2 linked regions of the Caenorhabditis elegans genome follow. The gene in region 1 interacts genetically with each later gene. Each region holds a gene or a part of one and is shown in the gene's direction. Other genes may lie near its edges.

Region 1 (5,755 bases):
TGGATCTTCGGGATACGCCGACTGTAGTGCTTCTGAACAATCAACGTCATCACCAAACTCGGCGGGAGTCGTCACAATGGCTACGGCCGCTACGACTACAACACATTTGGATGACCTGGAGCAGATTTGTCCAACTGTAACCACAGGCGAGCTGGTCAATTATCCATGGAGCGATGCATTGGGAATTGATATTAATTTTTCTTGAATATTTCAGACAAGTTTTTTTTTGAAAACTTCTGAAAGTTCGGGTAGTAAGTAGATCGCTACGTCCAAATGTTTTTTTTCACTGTTTCTTCTGAAAGCCCAACATTTTCTGCTCCTACCTCAATTCTAGCCTCTCCCCTGAAACAATTCTCTCTTTATCTCTCTCCAACAATTTTCGAGTGTCCCTTTAGTCCGGTCTTAGTACCTTTTAATCCCCAGCATTTTCTAGTTATTTACCACCTTTTTCTGTATTTTTCTCTTTGTTTTCCAGTATTTCCTCAACAAATCCAAGCGATTGTATTCTTTCATTTCTTGAAACCCTAAGAGTATTTCTACAAATCCAAAAAGTAATTCACTAATTTCAAATTGAAAGTATTCTTCTACAAAAGTATCGTCCCCATTTCTTTACCCATTTTTATCCTCTCCCAGCTTTACCGAGCCAGTTTTCATTCGTTCTTTCAACTTTCATCGATTACCCAATTCGCCGTTGTACTTGAAAAAAAAAATTTCTGAGATTTCAAGCACGAAATTATGATTGTATATGTTGAACACTTCCCCCCATCCCCTGCCCTCTACAATATGCCAAATGTAGCTACCCTTTTTCCCAAACCTGAAGAAATATTTATTCTCTTGTTCATCTCTAAATATCTCTTATCCTTTTTCACTCATCTTTCCAAATTTTCAGTATTGAATGAATTTCTTCCTCTTGATTTCATTTATTATTGATTGATTTATGTTTGTCTCCTTTTTCTGAGCAATAAAAATCATTTAAAAAATTAACTTGTTTTTGATTTCAAAATACATAGATTTGTGGAAATAATATACGTTTAATTAATTTTTTCTGTTCTGTAAATTAAAATTCAGGTAAATACCTAGCAATTTTCTACTATTAATTAGTTATTGGCAGCTGCGGCAAGTGTGTGACACAAATTGAAAAAACTTCCCTAAATAATGTCTCGTAAACAGTCTCGTAAAATATGTATGACATATTACAATTTAACATAACAGTTCAATCCTGGCCTGAAATCAATTTTTGTGCTGGTAGAACAATTGCTCCGTGAATACTGCAATAACCGAGCAGTCGGGAAGCCGCTTTTCTGGAACCTCTTGTTTTTTTTTGCAATGTCATTCTCGGAATTTTGGCACTTTTCTGAAACCTGCTTTAAAAAGTCACACCCTGTTTTTGGCTCCAACAGCTTTGAAAAAAAAACAACCTTCAAATAAATAGTGCATTCTATCATCCGTCCTTCACAACCTCAACTTGTCGGCATGTTTCTTTTTCTCTTTTTTTCTTTATTTTATCTTTCGTTCCAAATATTGGACATCAATTTCCGACATTTCGAAAGTTCTTTTCCCCAATTTATCGCAACTCAAAATCTTCAAAAAGTTCTTCTAAATTACTAAATCACACCGACCTCCAACGACGTTAACGGTCGTCAAACGAACCGGGTAAATTCTAAGATTGGCATCTCGAACACGCGACCGGCGCACGACCGTTTTTTTTGTTTGAATTGCAAAAAAAAAGACGAACCGAGTTGTTTTTTAAGTCGGGAAAGGGATTCAGTAGCACTCCTACATAATGATCGAATTGCAAGCAAGACCAACAGAGTCAATACTGTATAAACATCCTGATTACATGAATTAAAAAAACAAACCCTTAAAAACAAATCGAAACGCATTGATGATCCATGAAAGCTATGCTGATGTAACAAATCCTTCCTCTCCCACCCAAGAAACAAGTTTCATCCGAAGGTTCACCTATGTCAGAAGGTGATATTCTCGTCGTTAGCCATTCTTATCAATTCATTCTTGTTTTCATCCAGTTCCACGACTTCTCCCTTTCAAAAGATTTTCTCTTTCGCATTTTCATTTTATTTATTTCACTTTCGTAAAAGATTCGAAAATGATTTTATTTTTATTTTTATTCCTGTTGTTAGGATTTTGTATCGGTTAGTTTTAAATTCAATATTTAGAGATTACATTGTTAAATTTATGTTTCAAAAAAAATCAGAAACTTTAAAAAATTTGGCAATTTATCAAATACTTTGGCTGAACTTTTTGTGATATCCTAACATTTTTTTAAGTGATGATTTATGAGGAAAAATTGAAAAAAGGGAAAATATTTAGAAAATTTCCAGCACCATTATCGGCCCAATCTCCATCGACTTCCGATGCTCCGGGAGCTTTGTTGTCATCTCTCGTAGGTAAAAGCCATCAAAAACTACCACTGGCTCCATCAATGGAAGCTCTTGAACTGATGGGTGTTCAATTTGTTGATGCTCTCATCAAAAAAGGTCAAATGGAAATGGCAAAAGGAGCATTTAAGACTCAATTAGAAGTTCTAGAGAAAGTACATCCTGATCAATTCGATAAGTACAAAAAGCTAAAAGTTGATGATTTGGCAGCTGATGCAGTTATGCAACAGGCGGAGATGGCAAAATTACAGCCTAAATCAGGTTTTCATTTTACTTTTTCAGTAACTGTTCTGAAAACAAATTTGAATTTCAGGAAATGCATTTATCGATATGTTGAATGGAAATGGAATCCCAATTGGTAGCAGTATTCGTGGATTAGAAGATGCTATCCGAACGCAGAGAGATATGGAAAATACGGATCCGTCCGAACAGGTTGGTGTGAATTCAATTGCAGTTTTAAAAAATATTAGAGAAACTCCCTTTTCCCATTTGTTTGGGTTTTTAATTATTGTTTGCAGAATGATTTTCTTAATTTTATAACTAACAATGTTTCTAATTTAGATTGCCAAAGCCGTAATGGACAAATTTCAAACACAAATTCTCCCAGGACTCGTTGCAAATATGATCGCTGGCAAGAACCCCTTTAAAATGCCTCAACAAATGAGAAAAGCTCAAGCTGCTCCATCGTCAGTGTTCCAACAAGCTCTTGCTCAAAGAGCAATGTTAGGTAAAAATGCCCCAGTTGCCGGTGGAAGAGGTGAAGAACAACGGATGATGATGAATCGAGTGGACCAAAGAATGCAACAAAGAGAACTTCAAGAGGAAGATGAAGATGATGATGATCTTGAGGACGAGGATGTACCCAGAAGAAGAAGTTCGGATGGAGAACCACAAAGTGAAGCAGAGCATCAGAGAAGAGATTTAGCCAGGAGATTGAAAAGTAGTCCTAGATTAAAAGAGCTTTTACAGGTGAATTAGTAATTTCTCAACTGTTTTAAATTTTTTTAGAAAGGAAAAAAAATCCAAAATATTTAAGCTTTATATAAAAGTATTAAGTCTTTTTATATGTATTTAGAGCATATCTGTAAATATAATTTTACAAATACAACAATCATACATAGGTGTTGAGAATCGCCGATATTGATAACTTTCAACAGTCGGTAATACTTCTGCAGCAATTATCAAAAAAATTGCCGAATCTTACTATTTTTAAGTCTATATTTTTTCGGAAACTTCTAAAAAAGTTTTTTGTCATTTTGAAAATTTAATATAATAGGATGCGATTTAGCTAAAGTCTCCTATTTTGTTTGTAAGATGTTAAACCACCATAAAATATTTCGAAAAATTTTTGTGGAGATCGCGAATTGAGAAAAAATCACGTGTATCTTGGAAAATAACTAACAATGACAGTCGTAAGCCTAGTAGGACATTTTGTGCCTGTGTGGTCGCTTTGAAAAAATACCTAATACTTTCAGAATGCGGAAGTTCAATCATTGCTCTCTTACCAACGAATGAGGGATTCTCCACTGAGCAAGCGAAGGCCTTTGGCTATGAACGGTTGGTTTTTGTTTTTTGAATTAGTAGGAACTCTTATCTGTCGACTAAATTTCAGATGAGGATGAAAGTGCATTCCGCGCAATGGAGGCTCGTGCAAAACTAGATCAAAAATCTCAACTTGTGCTCGGTCTCCATGGTTTTGGAGAGTCTGATGATGATGAAGACGAAGAAGATGAAAATTTGATTGATCCATCTGAAAATTCATTCCGTCGTGCACCACTTCGTCTTTCTTCCGGATTCGTTGAGAAATTAAAGTCAAATGATGAATTGAAAAGTGCATTGGACAGAATTAAATATCGAGTTGATGACGTGGAAAAGTATCTTGCTCCAAAGCCGATGGAATTCAATCCAAAACCTCAGCCTGGCTACTTTGCTCCACGTAAAATCCCAACAAGACCACGTAAAATGCTTCCATTATTAATTGGATCTGATCCAAAAGTTCAAGAGGAAATACGAAGACATCCAAGTACCGAATGGAAAATTGCAAAAGAATCAAGAGTTTTGACAAATTTGAAGAATAATCCAAGTCTTGCTGCATTGTTCATGGATGATAAATTAGAGAATACATTGAAAGGAAGGCAAATGTTAACTGATGAACAGAAAGGTAGAACACGTGTCAAAACAATTCGTGCATTACCAAGACTGTTCGGTGCACCAACTGCAAAAGCTGAAATGATTGATGCAAAGGTATAATGAGATTAATTTATTTTGGCAATTTAAATATTTATTTCAGGTATTCCAAGATATTGAAGAACGTCCCATTCCTCCATTGTTCTTTGAACCAAAAGGAAGGCATACGAGATTGAGATGGACTGGAGCAAATGAAAAAGAAATTCCAGGACTTGGTAGGTATTGATTAAAATGTTTTTGTCTTGGTTTTTCTGCAATGTCAGTGAAAACATAGAATGTGTACGAAGAACTATGTTACGTGCCGACAACAGAAATTGATGAGTCAAAACAGAGAGAAAAAACGCCAATCCTTTTCTTATAGGAAGTCGCTTCATTCTCCCATCTCTTGATCCAACTATGCCAGCCTTGAACACGGCTTTCTCGACTCAGGGGCGAGCCCGTGACGAGTGGGATACCATGTTCAAAATCCCGAATAACTGGAATCCTGGAGATGAAGTTGGGTTCAAAATGAACTCAAAAACCAAACGATTCGTTGGAGGAAATGGAGCATTTGATATGCCTGCACTGGGATTGTAGATACATACATTCCAATTAGTAATAATAATAATAATAACAAAATTTAATAACTGTAATAAATTGAAGCTAATAAACTGGTTAGTAAAATAATTTTAATAATTGAGATACTCCATATCTCATTATATTTATTTTTATTGATATTGATAATGAGATCGTGATAAGAAATACAAGTAAAACATTATGACAACATAGTGATAATATATTACAAATAATTGATATTAATGAAATATGTGAAATTTCAGTATTGTATTATTCTTGAGTTTCATTAGCTTCGCCATTTTGTTGAGCAAGAGCCTCTTGTTTCTTCCGTTGCTCCTCGGCTAGCTCTTCCCATTTTTTGGCGTTGTATCTGTGAAAATTAAATTTTTGAGAGATGCTGATAAATTTGCAACTTACTCGCAGCGTTCTCTCATTTTATCGTTTTTCGGGAATATTCGCGCGATTAAGTCGTAGCAGGGCATACAGATCCCACGCATGAAGCCGACCTGGAAAAATGTTTCTTTACCAATTGATTGATACAACTTCCACAAATAATTGAAAATGCTGATATTCTGTTTAATTTTTAAACTCATCTGAACTTAATTTTATGTAGT
Region 2 (4,435 bases), on another chromosome or scaffold:
AGAGCAGGTAATCCAATTAGAGAGCTGGTTTTTGGAAACTTTCGGAAATGTTCTCCTTTATCTCCAGCATCCATTTTCTCCATTTGCAATTGGATTTCATAGTTTCTCATCAACGCTTCCATTTGTCGGGCTTCAAATTTCATTTCAGGAATTGAGAAGCTACCATGAAGCATGGTTCGGAGCAACGGGACTCGCTTGTCTGGATTTCGTTTGTATTTTCGCGTAGCTTCGAATTCAATGACAGATGCATGTTGATACTGACCAATGCTACTATAAAATGGGGAAATTGATTTCAACAAATTTTAATTTAGTTTTTATTAAATACCGTAAAAACTTGTTCATCTTGTCCCACTCGCCGGTGATCTGAAGATGTCGTGTGTAAACTCGGCATGCACTTTTCTGGCCATCCATTATTTTGCAGAATATGTTTTCCTTGAGAGTTCTCTCTAGAAAAATCACAATCTGTAAAGAAAGATAACTTTTTAAAAAATTAGTATCATAGCTGTTCGGACCTTGAAAATTGTATTATTGTCGTACGTGGCAACTGCTTGCTTCAAAAGTTGTGTCTTATCACGTAATGACCTATAGTAATCCAGTGTTACAGTATGCCCTTGAAGCATTCTCTTGATACTAGCCTCGATTGTAAGCGGCTGAAACCGTTCGTGGCGAAGAACCTAGAATCATAATTATCTTCAAAATTCTATATTAAAACTTTAATAGCTAACTTCGTGCTGATCTTTAAGTTTCCGATGTTCTTGTCTCAATCGATTATAATCCAAATCAAGACGTTGTGCTTCACTTGGTAAACTACTTGCACTTGCTTCAGAAACCACAGATGGAGCGGTCTGAATAACTGGCGCCACGTTAACGTTCTCAGCGAATTTCATGTTCAAGAAATCATCTACAATCTTGCCAGAAGCCCGAGGAGAGGTACTGCAAATTACTTATTTATATTCATAAAACAATGTAATTAACTTACTCTGTTATTCGAATATTCGCCTTGTCTGACACAGCAGCAGCTCTTCCGTCAATTTGCAGTGGAACATTTGTGGGAGTTGGCGTTGGGTTCTGCGGTCGGACGTACGGCTTCGGAGTCTCATCGCCACCGAAGAGATTGTCGACGGCTGCTCGAGCTTGAAGCTTTAATTTTCGTGTTAAACACATTGATTTGAGCAATATAATAATTAAGAAACGTGTTAATTTACTTTTTTTTCAATTTTTTAAAAGTAAAACATCTGGTCACGTTTATAGTTTTAAAAGATTTTTTTCGTTTTTTCTTAATATAATAACTACGTTAAAACTTACTTGTTTTGATTGTAAATCATCAAACAATCCGGATGAATTCGAGTCAGATTCATTCCAATAACTGTCTTCCGGAAGTTCAAAAGTGAATTTCCTTCGAAGGGCCATTCTTTATAATATTATCATTTCTTTTGCAAAGTATCTGAAAGAAACTATAAGAATGAGAAAAAATAGATAAAATTTTATGGGAAAATGGGAAAAGAATTCAATAAAAAATAAATGCAGAGAAAAAAAACGCAATTGACATGAAACGAGAAAAAGAGAAGAAAGGCAACTGCGTGCACGCTCCTTGCAAAAACTGCGTGCCAGGATTGCGAAGGCGGGGCTTATGAATGAAGCGCGAGTTTGAATCAAATAAAATTATTTTTTGCTCTTGGCCTAAAGAAAATCGAATTAAAGCTTTAGTTTCTAGTAATTCGTAAAATAATTTTTTTAATCGAAAATAGAACACAAAATTGTCTAGTTATATTAACTTTTAGACCTGATCCGACGTTCGTATGAACTAGAAATCTAGAAGATCACAAAGGCGCGAAATTTTGATTTTAGATTTTTCTGTAACTCGGTGGCGGGAAAATGTGAAATTATATTTTCAATCGTTTTATCATCATTTGGAATCATTTCTGCACTTGTCTTCTGTTGTCTTGTCTTTTCTTTACCCAGTTCCTCATTTTTCTTTATTCAACTTTTTTTTTCAGAATGCAAAACACACAGATATTTACTAACTTCGCTCACAGAGCACATGATGGGTATGTTTATCATTTTTAAATGTTGGTATTAAGTATTTCTTTTTCAGATTACCGTTTAACAGTGCGAATCCTTCCAACAAAGATCCAATTTTCACAATGCCAATATCGGTCAAACCGAAAACTCGTGAGCCGGCTTCTTTCACAGATAACAGGTAAATTTGTCGTGCCGTTTTAATGAATTCATCAAAAAACTTTTAGGATATATGTCAGCAATATTCCCTTCTCGTTTCGTGAACAAGATTTGGCGGCAATGTTCTTCGCGTGAGTTTTCAATTTACAACAAGTTCTGAATAAGAATATTAATTTCAGATATGGAAGAGTCCTGAGTGTGGAAATCGTCACAAATGATCGTGGATCCAAAGGGTTCGGGTTTGTCACACTCGATTCCATCGAATCCTGTGAGAAAGCTCGTGCTGCGCTTCACGAATCACATGTTCAAGGAAGAATTATAGAAGTGAGAAGAGCGACACCAACCCGCAGAAAGCTTATCAACAATCCACAAAATGAAGTTTTGCCACCACCAAAGCTGTGTGTCGATCTTCGAGCCCCTCATAATTTATGGAGAGCTGAGCCAATGCATCAGTTGTTCAAGGAAAAGGAGAACACAACATGTTTTCCCGAAGCTGGATTCATGATGGCACCATACCGTAGCAATGGAATTTTCAACACGCGTAGTCTTGTGCAGACCAAACCACCTCGATGCACCAAGCACAGCGAGCTCAAGCTTTCTTCAGCTGGTGAATACTTCTGCAAAAACGGCGAGCCTACGACGGAAACAAGTATTCTGATGTGCATGCACAGACAAAACTCACCATGCAGCAATAAGTGTTCTGATTCTTCGAATCACGAGCTGTCTGATGTGGAGTTGAACTCTATATTCCCACATCATCTTCGTGACCAGATTACTGCTCTTCTCGACACTTCAAACCATTTTGGATCAGGAAATAATAGTGCTAACAAAGGAAAGAGAGCACCATCTGTGACATCTTCTGGATTGAGATCATCAGAGAGCGAGACAGTTTCAGGTAAATAGTTTAGATTCTAGATTGTCGATTTTCATTTAAAAATCAAATTTTAGACGAAGAGATTCATTGGTCCCCACATAACAGCCCTGATTATCTTCTCGCTGCTCTCTACGAAGGTTCCACATCGTTCCACGGAAAGTCTGTTTCTCCACCAAAAGAATCGTCAAGCCAGTAATCAGTTCAACTGATACGCCCATTTTATTTCTACTAACTGCGTGTTTTGCATTTTATCGAACACCCCTAAACTTTCACTTAACCAAAAAGCTTTAACAAATTTTTTACGGAATCTTCTTGTACAGCGACACTCGTTGTCCTTGTCAAATGATTCGTTGCTAGTTTTTCTTCCCTGTAGCTTCTATATCGACCCCCCCGGTGTTATTTTGTAGGAATGCGTTTCAGCATCTTCCCTATTTTGCCATCTCTCACATACACTCAACATTAGCAATCGGAAAACAGATCTTCTATATTGAAAATATACTACCAGTCCGTTTAACCTACCTCGCTTGCTAACATTATTGAATGTGCCCACGTATTGTATTTTCTGAGCATCTTTCTGTTTTTTTTGTATTTTATAGACGCTGTGTTCGCCAGTTATTTTTGCATTCCTGTATTGCTCGAAGTCAAATGAAGTGCTTCGCCATATTCAATTGTTTTATTTTCAAAATCACCCGTTAATACTAGATTTCAGTTTGAATTTAATCACAGTTGTGAAAGATCATTATCCCGGCGTGTCATTGAGAGATCAAATGTTATCTTTCGGCACCTCTTGGCCTTCCTCCATTCATGATCAGAAGATTCACTCTCTTCTAAAATGACGTCGTGAGAGACTGCGGGAAGAGAAAAGGACGATGGCTGTCGGCACTTTGTGGATGCTGCTGGAAAAGTTTGGTGAATTTTGAAGTTTTGTGGTTTTTGATGATAACTTCAAAATGGATGGGAAAACACGAGAGAGAGAGAGAAACTTACGGATTTGAAGAGTGGGTGGAGAGGAAGGGTACAAACTGCTTCGCTCCTCATCATTTCCTGTGCCACGTCGACTTCGATTTTGACGACTTGAAAGTGTTGCGAAGAAGGACATTCGACGGGATTTCGATCGTCGACAACCACCGCTTACCCAACAAAATAGGCACGAAACAGGAATGAAGATACCTGAAATAAATATGCATTATTAGGCAAACTTGGAATTTTCATAGTTTTTTCCTATAGATTTTGATTTTCTCTAAAATTCCCCAGCGCCTATATTACAGGAACACTATTTACATTTTGAGAATGCGAATTGCACAACATCTGACGCGCAAAATATCTCGTAGCGAAAACTACAGTAATTTTTTAAATGACTACTGTAGTGCTCGTGTCGATTTA

Evidence for each region. A genetic interaction does not mean that the proteins touch.
Region 2: of osr-1 (region 1) and spn-4, a change in one rescues a mutant of the other (synthetic rescue), as found in Caenorhabditis elegans (one study listed by BioGRID).

What each region holds. Positions count from the first base shown.
Region 1 is NC_003279.8:5,199,759-5,205,513, reverse strand, and holds osr-1 (TPR_REGION domain-containing protein), read left to right. Parts: upstream 1-2,009; 5' UTR 2,010-2,107; coding exon 2,108-2,153; intron 2,154-2,342; coding exon 2,343-2,660; intron 2,661-2,712; coding exon 2,713-2,831; intron 2,832-2,960; coding exon 2,961-3,368; intron 3,369-3,874; coding exon 3,875-3,956; intron 3,957-4,011; coding exon 4,012-4,643; intron 4,644-4,689; coding exon 4,690-4,801; intron 4,802-4,947; coding exon 4,948-5,162; 3' UTR 5,163-5,255; downstream 5,256-5,755. Other genes in the region: Transcription factor sem-2, read left to right, coding at 1-205; putative 3',5'-cyclic phosphodiesterase pde-5, read right to left, coding at 5,412-5,511, 5,559-5,647.
Region 2 is NC_003283.11:6,782,466-6,786,900, reverse strand, and holds spn-4 (RRM domain-containing protein), read left to right. Parts: upstream 1-1,997; 5' UTR 1,998-1,998; coding exon 1,999-2,048; intron 2,049-2,095; coding exon 2,096-2,200; intron 2,201-2,246; coding exon 2,247-2,309; intron 2,310-2,357; coding exon 2,358-3,073; intron 3,074-3,126; coding exon 3,127-3,248; 3' UTR 3,249-3,714; downstream 3,715-4,435. Other genes in the region: spe-39 (Spermatogenesis-defective protein 39), read right to left, coding at 1-270, 326-462, 513-674, 726-933, 980-1,140, 1,306-1,410; ZC404.15 (uncharacterized protein), read right to left, coding at 3,773-3,948, 4,040-4,222.